Linked DNA regions of Mus musculus: regions 1, 2 and 3 are each reported to be linked to region 4. The links are microRNA targets in miRTarBase. Many come from high-throughput screens and were not tested one by one. Region 4 holds a microRNA gene; each other region holds the end of a gene's coding sequence. Distances are from middle to middle.

Region 1 (3,094 bases), not on the chromosome of region 4:
CCCCCATAGGGTTTCCCAGAACCTACATACTCTTGTCTGGCCCCCAACTTTGGGCCTCCCTTCTAGTCCTGGGTTGTTAGGATGCCTTTCTTATTCCCCTTTTTCTGGAGGGGAGCCCCAGCTCAAGGTGCTCTCTTTCCTCAGGATCAGTATCATTTCTGCTACGACGTGGCCCTGGAGTACCTGGAGGCTCTGGAGTTGAGATAGCAGGCGCCTGACCTGGGGCACCCAGTGAACACCCAGGGCATGGCCCATCATCCCAGATGAGGAGGGCCTGTGGCCCCAACTTTGCTCAGCCATAATTCCACAGGGACAACACTGGAACGGACGGACACTGCACCATCTTGGTGACCCCCACGGGAAGGCTGCAGGCCAAGGAGAAGCTTTGCAAGACTGTATCAGCCCCACCTCTAGAGGGCCCTGCAGACCTGTGCAGAGAAGCTCGCCTGGACCAAAATAGCTAGTGCTGGAGAGCCCAGGCCAGGCCCCTCTGCTCCATCACAGTCCTTGGCCAGAAATGAATGAGTGTCTGCAGAGAGCACCCATGGTTTGCACCCAGTATGGTCCTTTCTGCACGTGGTGGAGGCTCACTGGGACTTGGCAGGGGCTGAGTCCCCGAGAGTCCTGAAGCTGGGACTCTTCCCCGTCTCGCCGGTGGGACCCGCTGAGCATCCTGCAGCTCCATTCTCCATCCCACTGCCCCTACAGACCTGGGGTGCTTTGCTCGCTTTCCTCCTGCTTCTGAGCTTTTCCTGCAACAGGACCCGTGCCTCCCTCCTGGGCTCCATCCCTGCCTGGCCCAGTATATGCAGAATGATATACTTCAGCTCCCTCTTCCCTGGCCTTTGGGTCTCCATGGCTCAGTCCTGCTCAGCTTGGGCCTGTGACAATCCACAAGGCTGAATCACAGCCCCTGGGGTTGAGGTCCCTGTGGCTCTTGGTGAGGCTGCCACTGGATCGGGGCAGGCTAGAACAGGGCTGGTGTCAGCTCCTAGAGTACAGAGGAAGAAGGGATACTTTGGAATGGAGGACCAGTGCTTTTTTTGTTGTTGTTATTTTGTTATTTTTTTGATGGGAGGGTGGGAAGTTCTCTTTATAATGGGGTAGGCCACACCCCCATTTCGTGCCTCAATTTCCCCATCTGTAAACTGTAGATATGACTACTGACCTACCTCACAGGGGGCTGTGGGGAGGTGTAAGGTAATGTTTGTAAAGCGCTTTGTAAATAAATGTGCTCTCTGAATGCCACCCTGTGGCTCTGTGTGTGTGATGGATGCCTGCCCGGCCTCTTGGGCCAGTGTGGGTCAGAGGCCTAGATCCTAGGCTTGTTTTGGCTTTTTTATTCACCAAACAGTAGATATATGGACCAGGGCATCACTCAAGAGTCCTCCCGCAGAAGTTGTTCCTGCAACACAGTACTTAACAAGAGTACCTTAAGGGAGGGCAGGGTTATTCTGGGATACAGCTCAAGGGTACAGTCCACTATAGTGAGTGTTCTCGTTTGGCTTCTGTTGCGATGATAAACACCAGGATCAACAGCCATGTGGACAGAAAAGTGTTTATTTCATCTTACATGTTGCAGTCCATCATGAGTGAAGCCAAGGCAGGAACTCAGAGCAGGACTCGGAGGCAGAAGCCAAGGAGGAACACTGTTAATTGGTTCACTTCCAGACTCATGTTCAGCATCTTTCTTCCATAGCTCAGGTCCACCAGCCTAGGAATGGTTCTGCCCACAGTGGGCTGGACCCTCCCCCATCAACCATTAAGTAAAACCAGTTCCTTGAAGACAGGAGCACAGGCCAGTGTAGTGATGGAGGGGAGTCTTCAGTTGAAGTTCTGTTTTTCCAGGTGCATCAGGTTGACAACTGGGATTAGGCATTGCAGTGGGGAAGGCTCGGGTGGAGGGGGGAGGAGGAGGGAGGAGGAGGTGGGGGAGGGCAGGGCCTCAACCATCTCTTCACATTGCATTCCAGTCAAGAGGCAGAGAACAGGGGCTGAGGAAATCCCTTAATGGGTAAGAGTGGCTTGCTAGGCAAGCATGAGGACCCAAGTTCAAGACCTTAGCACCCACATAAAAGTTGGGCATGGCCACACATGTCTATAACTCTGGCATTGGACAGTGAAGACAAATGAGTTCTGGGAGTTCCCTTGGCTAGCCTAGCCAAAATGGTGAGCTTCAGGTCAGTGGAAGAGGACGTAATGAGGTCAGCAACAGAGGAAGAGACCAGATGTCCTCCTCTGGCTTCTGTGAGGGCACACATGGACGTGTGTTTGTCCCCTAAAATAAAATGATGGATTTTGGTCTCAATTACTTTTCTTCTCTTTGTTTGGTTCAAGACTCCAGCCTCTTCAATTAACTCAATCTAGGTGTGTTTAGAGGCTTGACAAGATTAAGTTTCAGAAGCCATTCCTCAAGCAATGGGCTTCATCGTGAGGTCTCAGGCTGTCTGCTATCCCCCAGAGAGGGGATGGGGTCAAGGTCAGCTCTGTTGTTGTAACAGTGGGGGCTCAGCCGTCTCATTCAGAGCTGACCTGTAAGCCTTACCTGATGGACTCAGATATGTGTCTGTCTTAGTCAGGGTTTCTATTCCTGCACAAACATCATGACCAAGAAGCAAGTTGGGGAGGAAAGGGTTTATTCAGCTTACATTTCCATACTGCTGTTCATCACTAAGGAAGTCAAGACTGGAACTCAAGCAGGTCAGGAAGCAGGAGCTGATGCAGAGGCCATGGAGGAATGTTCTTTACTGGCTTGCTTGTTCTGGCTTGCTCAGCCTGCTCTCTTATAGAACCCAAGACTACCAGCCTAGAGATGGTCCCACCCACAAGGGGCCTTTCCCCCTTGATCACTAATTGAGAAAATGCCTTACAGTTGGATCTCATGGAGGCATTTCCTCAACTGAAGCTCCTTTCTCTGTGATAACTCCAGCTGTGTCAAGTTGACACAAAACTAGCCAGTACAATTGACACACAAATACATCACTAGTAAGCCTCAACCCTTAGTTCTTATTCATCCCCAAGATCTTAAATAACTTTAAAAGTCCCACAGTCTTTACATATTAAAAGTTCAATCCTTTAAAAATATCCAATATCT
Region 2 (3,094 bases), 24 Mb from region 4:
ACATTGTGATTCATAACAGTAGCCAAGTTACAGTTATGAAGTAGCAATAAAATAGTTGTATGGCTGGGGGTCAGCACAGCGGGAGGAACTATATTAAAGGGTCGCAGCGTTAGGAAGGCTGAGAACTCTGCTCTAGAGTGATTTTAAAGGATATCCTTTGGTTCATCTTTTTTAATTCTTTCTCTCTCTCCTACCTAGTTCGAAAGAAGAGAGTTGAAGGAGACAGGAGGTAAAGCCCCACTCAAAGGGGTGAAGTCTCACCGTGCGGCCATCCAAAAAAACATACCCAAAATCCTCTTCTCCACCGGACCATTTGATCCAAGGCTGTTCATTTCCGTTAACCATATCCATCATAACTTTAACTGTTACTCCTTTTTAGCGCTAATTATTTGTCTGAAATATGTGTAGCAGTTTGCCTCGCTCCTGGACACACCTGGTGGCTTGCACAAGTAGGGTGATACAGATCTTAGACAGTGACAACGCTGGAGATGATCTTAACCACTTTCATATTGTAGTTTGTCTTGCTTTCTTTCGTGAACCGTTTTTAGTCATGGAAGGGACTTAGCATGTAGCATGTGTTTGTAGCTGATGACAAAGTGGAGGCCTATCTCTGTTTACATGCATTGCTTTGAGCTAGGCCAGGAACATGGGGAGTGTGTGCTACTGACCACATGAGAAGTTAGTATTGCCAAGCTTTCACAAATTCTCCGTTAATTTCAGAAAAAAAAAAAAATAGTGTCTCTACATGCACATGCCCAACTGATAGATAGATGGTCAGTGGGATCTTCCTTAGAAAGCACTTTAACGTAGCACTGGCAAAGGGACTGTTTAGTGCCCCGTGAGTATATTAACAAGTCACACACTTACCTTTACTTACTGTTAAACATGAATGAAACATATTTGTTAAGGTATGTGGTCCTGGGAATTGTATCCAGAACCCTGTGTGCTAGGCAAGCACTCTACTCCTGAGCTACATCTCCAACCCAAATTATATTTAAAATGATTCTCTAATAGGTAATTATTTACAAAGCCGTTGAAAGACTTTCCAGGTATGATGGGAAATTTTTTAAAGTTTAACCAAAAGAAAATTTCAAAATAGTACATTCCCACATAAAATAACAATAACAGCGTCTTGGGAGCTGGAGAGCTGGCTCAGCAGTTAAGAGTGCTTGCTGCTTTCCCAGAAGACCAGAGTTCAGCTTCAGCACCTGTGTCAAGCAGCTAACTTGTATAGCTCCATCCTCGGGGGACTCTGATGCCTCCAGCCTCTGAGGGCATCCACACATAGGTATACATACCCCCTATATACATACACATGATTAAAAATAGATTTAAAAGTTATGGTACCTTAATCAAAGTTTCTGATACATAATGAATTTGACAAATTTTAAAAGCAATTGTTGATTCATCTTTAGCATAACCAGATCACCAGCTAAATTGTGGGCATTGTGGTTAATTATATAGGTTTTTTGGGGGTTTTTTGGTTTTTTTGTTTTTTGTTTTTTGTTTTGTTTTTTTGTCACATGCAATTGCTTCTTTGCCTTTTGGCTTAAAATCAAGCATTGATTTTTGTCATATATCACAGTAAATCCAGCTATTTGCAAACATTAGGTTAAAAGGAATTGTCAGTTGCTAAGATGTTTGTCACCTCGAAGACAGAGCCTGTGAAGACATGACTGAAGTGACCATGAAGTGACTGATTTCCTAGTACAACAACTGGACAGCATAATGCAAATTTAAGGTACCAAGTGATGGAATGTTTTGGCCCAAAATAATCACTTTTCTCTCCTGTCATAGACATCAGCCACTGTCAGGTACCTGTGTTAGCTGCCCTTCTCACTGCTGTGACTAAATACCTGACAAAAGGAATATAAGGAAAAGGGGGATTCATCTTGGCTCACAGTTTTAGGTTGCCACCAACTGTGGCAGAGAAGGATAGCAGCAGGAGGATGAGACAGTTGTCACATCACTGTCACAGACAGGAAGCAAAGAGAGATGAATGCTGGGGCTCCGCCCACTTTCCTTTCCCCCCTTTTTATTTAGTCTGGAGTTCCAGCCTATGGGATGGTGCTCCCCACATTCAGGGTGAGTTCTCTCTTCTTGGTTAAACTTCTCTGGTAACACCGTAGGTGATTCCAAATCCCATCAAGTTGACAATGAAGATCCTGTCTAGCATCTCTTGTCCTTCCTTTTCCTCTCCTTTCATGACAAAGCATCCTTCTTGTTTCCCTTCTCTCTATGTCGCTAAGTCAGTGGTTCTCAACCTGTGGGTCACAATCCCTTTGGAGGTTGAATAACTCTTTCATGGAGGTCACTTAAGATTATTGGAAAACACAGATATTTACATTACAACTCAAAACAGTAGTAAAATTACAGTCATGAAGTAGCAATGAGATAAATGTATGGTTGGGGGTCACCACAACATGAGGAACTGTATTAAAAGCAGTAAGAAGGTTGAGAACCACTGCTCTAAGTCCTATAAAGGTGATGGGAAACTATCAGACAAGAAAGAACTTGGAGTCAGGAACCTTGGGAAAAAAAACTGGACACTTAGAGGGAGAAACTGAACACTTACTGTGCTATAAATAACCACAGCTAAAGCAAAAATTCTCAGACACACCTCATTTTCTTGGCTCATTTTTATACTCTTCAGGACATAATAAATAGGGTATTCTGACATTTTTTGAGTCACCCCCAAGTGCTTTAACTTAATACTTTATCTCCCTGTCAATCTAAAAATGTATTTGTTTTGTTTTATCCCTTAATCTGATCTTTCCTTCCTTCTCACCCACTTGGGTGTGGTATTGAAGCCAGTTTGTATAGGTTTGCTGGTTTGTTCAGTTTTCAAGAATTCTTTAAATTCTTGCTCAAAATTGCCCTGCTAAAAATTAAGGTGTGGTAGCATGCCCTAGTGATCCTAGCACTTGGAGTGGACGCAAGATCAGTGTTGGCTACACAGAAAGTCTGAAGCCAGCCTGCTACCTGAGACCCCTCCCTCAACTTGAACATGAAGTGGCTTGTACTTACAGTGAAATCGATGATAGTAAAGGCAAAACTATGCTCTTGAGATTCTTTACGTCTGTTGTGCCTGTAT
Region 3 (3,094 bases), not on the chromosome of region 4:
CCACACCTTGGGTGGCTCTGCCCATGCACCCATGTGGCCTCGGTTTGACACACGCATGCGTGATTGCAGTGTTATCGACCTAGGCTGGCTCTGCTCAGCGTCATATAGGTCAGATCCAGGGGCCACTGGCTGGCCTCCTCCCTCATGGCTCTGATGGTCTGCCTGCTGTATACTCAGGCTTTGGCCAGTTTCAGCTCCTTGTGGTTATGGGCGTGCGTGACATCCTGGCTTCTTTGCTGGCTGGAGCTGTGCTGTCCTCCTAAGTCTCTTCAATGTATTTCATGTCCTCATCTTCAGGTCAGCAACAGAGACTCAGTCCTGGGCATCTTTCTGTCCACTTCTGAGGGGCCCTGTGTCCACACTAAACCCATTGGTGTAGACTTTCTCAATCCTTTCTCAATCCTTCAGGCCTACCTACCCTAAGTCCCCTTGTCAAGGTCCTCCACTGTGGCAAAGGACACACAGGACCTGGGGCTGTCATGTGGGCATCTTTGAGAACCACTCTTCTGTCCCTCATCTGATCAGCCAGAGAGGCACTAGTTCTGGGTGCCTAGAAGCCACTCTGAGGAACTCCAGGCTGTGTGAGAGGTTCTCTACCCTCCTCAGTGGCCTGGAAGGCCAGGGACAGTGCCACAGCCCTCAGCCAAAGTCACCATATACTCACTTGCTCTGGGTGCTCCTGGCTGAGCTGACTGCAAGACAGACAGACGAGGTGAGAAATTCCTAGTGCAAAAGAGCCCCATGAGGAAAAGCCATTTGTCCCAAGGATAGGAACACCTGGGGACGGGCAGGAGGCAGGAGCCACAAAGAAAGAGTGCTCGCATGCCTACCTAGGTTCTGGCTCAGAGGAATCTGCCCCTTCTCAGAGCGCCCCAACAACCTGAATCTTTCTTATAAGTGCAATCTTAAGATGGTCTTCAGGGCCATGGGAGAAACCAAAAGCCTGTCCTGCTGCCCTCAACTCTCTGGGAGCCAGCATTCTCCCCCAACACTGTTACAACAAAATACCACGCCTCAGGAACCAGACATGACCACCGGAGGACGATGAAGCTACCTGCTCTCCAACCCTGAAGGCTGCAGTGGAGTGCTGAAGTCAGTCTGGCCCTGGCTCTGGGTTCTAGCCACAGTGGGCTGACAGAAAGGCAGCCGACAATGCCCAGGCCGTGCTACCTGATATCATCAGAAAGGCAACAAAGCAGGGTGGGCATGGGTCAGAGTTCCTCTGCAGAAGGTGCTAGATGATACCCTTACCACCACCCACAAGCTCCATCCCTGGCCACAGAGAATGTGCAATCTTCACAGCTGCCCCACCCGGCCCTAGGGCACCTGAGGTGCAGCCTCAAAGACTTGGAGACTTGGCATGCAGCCTCCAGCTCTCCCTTGCTGAAAGTTTTCTTCCTACCCACAGGTAACCTGAGTCTAGACTCAGCTGAGTGTCCCAGGAACGGGCGCTGGCTGACCTGGAAAATTACCCAGGCACCAACAAAGCCACACACTTGAACCAGAGCTGAATCCAGAACACCACATATGCACCCTGCCGGGGAAAACTAGGCTTTGCTCTGCCCTATTCTAAGAAGATAGGACCCTTGGAAGGGGGCAAGCTCTTGGGGAGCCGTGAGGAAATGGGCCTCCACAGACAAGATCAGGCAGGGCTTATGCCCACCTGCCCTGCTTCAAGCTGCCTCCCTTCCTGTATTGAAACTGAGTATCTTCAAAAGCCAGGCTTCATCCCGCTATTTCCAGCCAGTTGCTTCCTACCAACTCCTCCAGAATCCTGTACCCTAACGGGATTTCCTCACAGTTGCAGTTACTGGGACACACAGGTGGGAGGTCCCAGGTGTCAGTCAACAGGGCCACTCTTTCCCATCACCCTGGAGCAGGGACACCACACCTAGACTCAGGAATGCACACTGTGCCGACTCTGAAACCACCAAGAGGAGAGCTGGTTAGGCCAAGGAGAGGATGTCTTCCAGCAAGGAGAGCACTCGTGGGTATAGTGGGTCAATCGCTCTTAGCATAAACGAAGGCTTGATTCTTGTTAGACTTACAGCGTCCAAGACACCACAGAGAAGACAGCACACACCCCTCCTCTCTGAATGTGCAGCCATGGCACAGGAAGAGGAGGGCCCACTGTCGCAGCAGTCAGAAGCCAGCAGCCAGGAGGGGTTGGAAGAGAATGTACGGGCCAGGAGATCAGAAGTGGGGCTGTAGGGCCTCCCGAGAATTCCAGAAGACCTGCCTCTGGCTGTTAGCAAGAGCCTACTCTTGGGGAAAGCCAGCAACCCCGCTCTTCATGCAGTAAGAGGTGTCTTTTCAATTCTTCCCATACTGCCCTGACCAAGACCTGACCAGCTCTTTGCTGTGCCCATGGTATGAACAGCTCAACTGTCATGGCCCTGCCCAGCGGGGCCAACTTCCCAGTCTGGCACTCATACTTGAAACTGCTACCCAGGCTTGGAGTTACCCATAAGCCAGGACCTACCAGGGCTAGAGCCATCCATAAGCCAGGGCTTACCAGGGCTGGAGCCACCCATAAGCCAGGACCTACCAGGGCTAGAGCCACCCATAAGCCAGGGCTTACCAGGGCTGGAGCCACCCATAAGCCAGTTGACTTGGGGCTCAGTCATGGTGGGCTCCTCTGCCAGCTTGACCTCCATAGCTTTTGCTGTGACCATGGAAGATACTCCCAAGGTCCCGCCACCTATGGCAACACTAGCCAGGCATAACCAGGTCATTAGGAAGAGACAGAGCTCAGTGTGCCCCAAGGGGTGGCTTGGGCACATTTCCCATTGGCCTCAGGCCACACTCAGACAATGCTTCTCCTCCAGCCCAGCCACTTGGCTCCTCTGTCTGGTCCTGGCTAGAGCCATGGTGGCTTGTGACACCCTGGAGCATTCTTGCCTTGCATGCATCTCCAGTGGCCCATGGGCTCCACTAGGCTTCCTTCCCTGCTGCTGTGGATGACAGGTACTGGCTAGTGGGGGCTGGAGGGAGCCCTGGTCTGACTGGGGGTCCAGCCGCGGGACACAGTGGGGGCCGTCTGGCCTGGCCTCCGCCTCTCCCATAAGGACACATCCTTCGTTCCAAGCGAAAG
Region 4 (3,094 bases):
TGGAATTTGTGTTGAATGTTCCTGATGATTGGCATATATTCATGTAATTAGTGGCATCTACAAGACCATTTGCTGGGCTTACAGGTATCAGTGTATAGCTAAGAAATGTCCCTTTGTAGACTGCAAGACTGTTGGATCAATACAAATGGGTGTCATACAGCATACAGGAAGACCACAGTCTGGGACGGCTACTTCCTACTGAATTCCACAAAGTTTGCAATCAGAGAATACTGTATATCCTCTCTGGGCTCAATTAATTAAAGGAAAGGAGAGGAAAGACTAAAGGAAAGAAATATTAGTGAAGATGGCGCAGAAATGCTGTCCCCTCAGCGCCTCCTATTCCCAATATACACAAACACGCACCCCGTTATCAGATATAAAATAGCAAAAACAAGGGGAATGTAACTGACAGAAGATATGGCTTCTCGGGCTTCTACAGACCTCATCCTTAATGTCCAAATCTACCCTTGCTTCAAGGATCTACCTGAACTCTCACCTCCTCCATGATGGTGTCTGTCAGCTCTTGTTGGCACACCTCCCACCCCCACCCATACCTGTTTTTTTCTATTAGGAAAATCTATCAGTTTAGCAACTTTATACTGTCTGGAGTAATAAATAATGTGTTCACATTTTGTTACCACCTAGACTGTCTGATGGGTAGTAAGACAAACGCCTGTTAGGTGCTGGATTTGTAACATTTAAATAAAACAGGAGCCCAAAGTGAGACTAGATATCCTCAAGGCTCACGGGGAGATCATCAAAACTGTGTCTTTGATCTTATAAGGGCCACAACTTTGACCTACCAACAAGGGTGTTGGTTCAATGTTTGACCAGAAGAGTGGCCCACACTTCACTGTATGGCCCTGTAAGAGGTAGTCCTAAGAAAGAACTTGGGTACAGGCAAGGGCAATCCTGCAGGTATGAGTGCCCAGGCCTGCTCAGGCAGGAAGGCTCCAGATGAGACGCCTGGGAAGCGGTTTCTGAGAATGGGCATATGAACAGTGAGGAGGCCTGGGGCTTCTTGGGCAATATATTGGGAAGGAGAGATGGATGTAGGTCTCTGCGCTTCTTTCTTCGATGTAGCAGTAACTACACTGTGAAGATAAACTTCTCAAGAATCTGTCTCTCCATCTCCCCGGCCCCTTCCCAGGAGGCTCTGCAGGAGCCCTCCCATTGCCCCTTCTGGTAGCTTCTGCCACCCCTCCCCCACTCGCCCCGCCCCCTCGGCCTCGGGGTTCCAAGGGCGGTTGGTCGCTGAGCCACGGTCACTCGGCCAGTAGGAGCTGCGGGGCGCGCGGGCTGGACAGAACCGGCTCTAGACTTGGGTCTGGAAGCCGTGAAGAAGTTGTTGGAGGCGGGTCAGACCCGGCTTGCGGGAAGAAGGACTCGGGCCGGATGCCCTGGGGTCCGGGCTGAGTCGGGGGTCTCGGGGGGGACGGCGGGGACAGGGGGCCTCAGCGCCTGGGGGTTCACCTGGGGTCGCGCGCGGCCCTGCTGGGTGTGGAGGGGCCTCGGGAGCCTGAGGCACCTCTCGCTCCGCCGCCCTCGCCTGTCGACCGTGGCGAAAGGGGGCGAGGGGCCCGACCCTCGGGAGCTGCAGTGGCGGGCGCCCGGTGCTCGGTTTGTAGGCAGTGTAATTAGCTGATTGTAGTGCGGTGCTGACAATCACTAACTCCACTGCCATCAAAACAAGGCACAGCATCACCCGCCGCCCGCGGGAGGAGAAGCCAGCGCTGCAGCCCCACTGACTCCGCAGAAAGCCGAGGCCGGAGCCAGGATGCGTCAGCAAAGGGCCGGGAGCACGAGGTCTAAGTGCAAGTAACCCTCGGAGACCGGCGGCCTCCTTTAGGGACCGTTCGGCTACCTGTGTGTAAGAGCCAGAGCAAAAACGGTTCAGTGATGTGTAAAGAGAATCGGTATACACCGGCCTTAACATAAAAAAAAAAAAAAAAAAAAAGGCCAGGAAGAGCCCCCCCCCCCCCCCCCCCAGAACAGTTCCTGCTGCTGCTGTGATTCACTGCCTGATTTCCACTTCTGAGAAAGCTATCACCAAGGCAGCGACTAGAGTCAACCACAGCTTGGCTGACGATTTGCTCTGGTCACACCAAAGTCTGAGAGCACCAGCTAAAGACTGCATGCTTTTTTCTGAGTCTAGTTACTAGGCAGTGTAGTTAGCTGATTGCTAATAGTACCAATCACTAACCACACAGCCAGGTAAAAAGACTGAAATTCCTCCGACTGAGCCTCCTGTGAATCGTCATTTTGGTGAGGACAGAGCCATAGGGAAATATTCTTACCATACTATTAGTGGTTTGGGGGGGGGGGGGGAACCGCTAGCCCTTAGCTGCTAAGTATACAATGTATCAATTTGTGTGGGGTACATTTTTTGTGATTTTTAGATATATTGGAAAAATAGAAATTATCCCTTAGCTGATTTGGTCATTATATTGACTTGTGATTATAAATCTTTGGACTTTGCCTGACATATTAATAACACTCTAAAAAATAAAGCGCCACGAAAATCTCAGCAATCGTGTTCATTTCCTTTCCAAAAACTGGCTTTAGGATCTCCATTTCAGCTCCTGTCAACCCCGTAAAGTCATTAAATGGTTAGTTGCTATACAGACAAAATCTCCAGGGAAACGTCTCACACATGATTGTGACCTGGAAGGGAACGTTAAATGTTTTCATAATTTTCCATGGGGCAAGGGAACTCAGCCCACTTAACCAGGTATATTTTTTAAGGTATTAACAGTTGCGTTCTAGGCAACTTTTCGTGGGAATAATTAGTGAACACGATTTAAAACCAGCTGGTTTCCTAATATCTGTAATAAAAGATTTGAGAGGTTTTAAATCACACAAGCTGTATCCACCGGTACTTCTCGGCCCAGTTCTAGATTAGCGCTTTATGCAGATGTATCAATGCAAACCTGAGAATTTCCCCAGAGGTAAGAGTGCGAAGCCTTGGCAATCTTGTCCAAAAGAGGAAGGCGCTCTTTAAAGCTCACATTATTGGGCTATCTGGGGGAGGAGGAGACGCTGGCTGAGGATCTAAGAGACAGTCCAGGACTGTACACATCACAAAGTTGAGGCT

What was found. The annotated mature microRNA mmu-miR-34b-5p reads AGGCAGUGUAAUUAGCUGAUUGU and lies in region 4 at 1,627-1,649, shown strand. An mRNA with a match to its seed (bases 2 to 7 or 8) in the 3' UTR can be bound and repressed. Matches are read on the target gene's strand: a 7mer-m8 pairs with bases 2 to 8, a 7mer-A1 pairs with bases 2 to 7 and ends in A, and an 8mer does both.
Region 1: the mRNA of Ptpru is a reported target of mmu-miR-34b-5p. Seed matches in the 3' UTR shown: 7mer-m8 at 695-701.
Region 2: the mRNA of Tmod2 is a reported target of mmu-miR-34b-5p. The part of its 3' UTR that is shown has no 7-base or 8-base seed match.
Region 3: miRTarBase lists Adcy1 as a target of mmu-miR-34b-5p. The part of its 3' UTR that is shown has no 7-base or 8-base seed match.

Annotation. Positions count from the first base shown.
Region 1 is chr4:131,766,611-131,769,704 of GRCm38, reverse strand. It overlaps Ptpru (protein tyrosine phosphatase, receptor type, U), which reads left to right. Exons shown (of 31, transcript NM_001083119.2): 31 at 145-1,248. The coding sequence ends at 207. Among named protein-coding and RNA genes, the nearest start is that of Gm52680, 31 kb to the left of the region's middle.
Region 2 is chr9:75,571,228-75,574,321 of GRCm38, reverse strand. It overlaps Tmod2 (tropomodulin 2), which reads left to right. Exons shown (of 10, transcript NM_016711.3): 10 at 199-3,094. The coding sequence ends at 233. Among named protein-coding and RNA genes, the nearest start is that of Tmod3, 13 kb to the right of the region's middle.
Region 3 is chr11:7,169,556-7,172,649 of GRCm38, reverse strand. It overlaps Adcy1 (adenylate cyclase 1), which reads right to left. Exons shown (of 20, transcript NM_009622.2): 20 at 1-3,094. The coding sequence ends at 2,935. Among named protein-coding and RNA genes, the nearest start is that of Ccdc201, 17 kb to the left of the region's middle.
Region 4 is chr9:51,102,165-51,105,258 of GRCm38, reverse strand. It overlaps Mir34b (microRNA 34b), which reads left to right and starts at 1,614; the gene lies at 1,614-1,697. It overlaps Mir34c (microRNA 34c), which reads left to right and starts at 2,149; the gene lies at 2,149-2,225. It also overlaps a transcript of Hoatz not described here and a transcript of Btg4 not described here.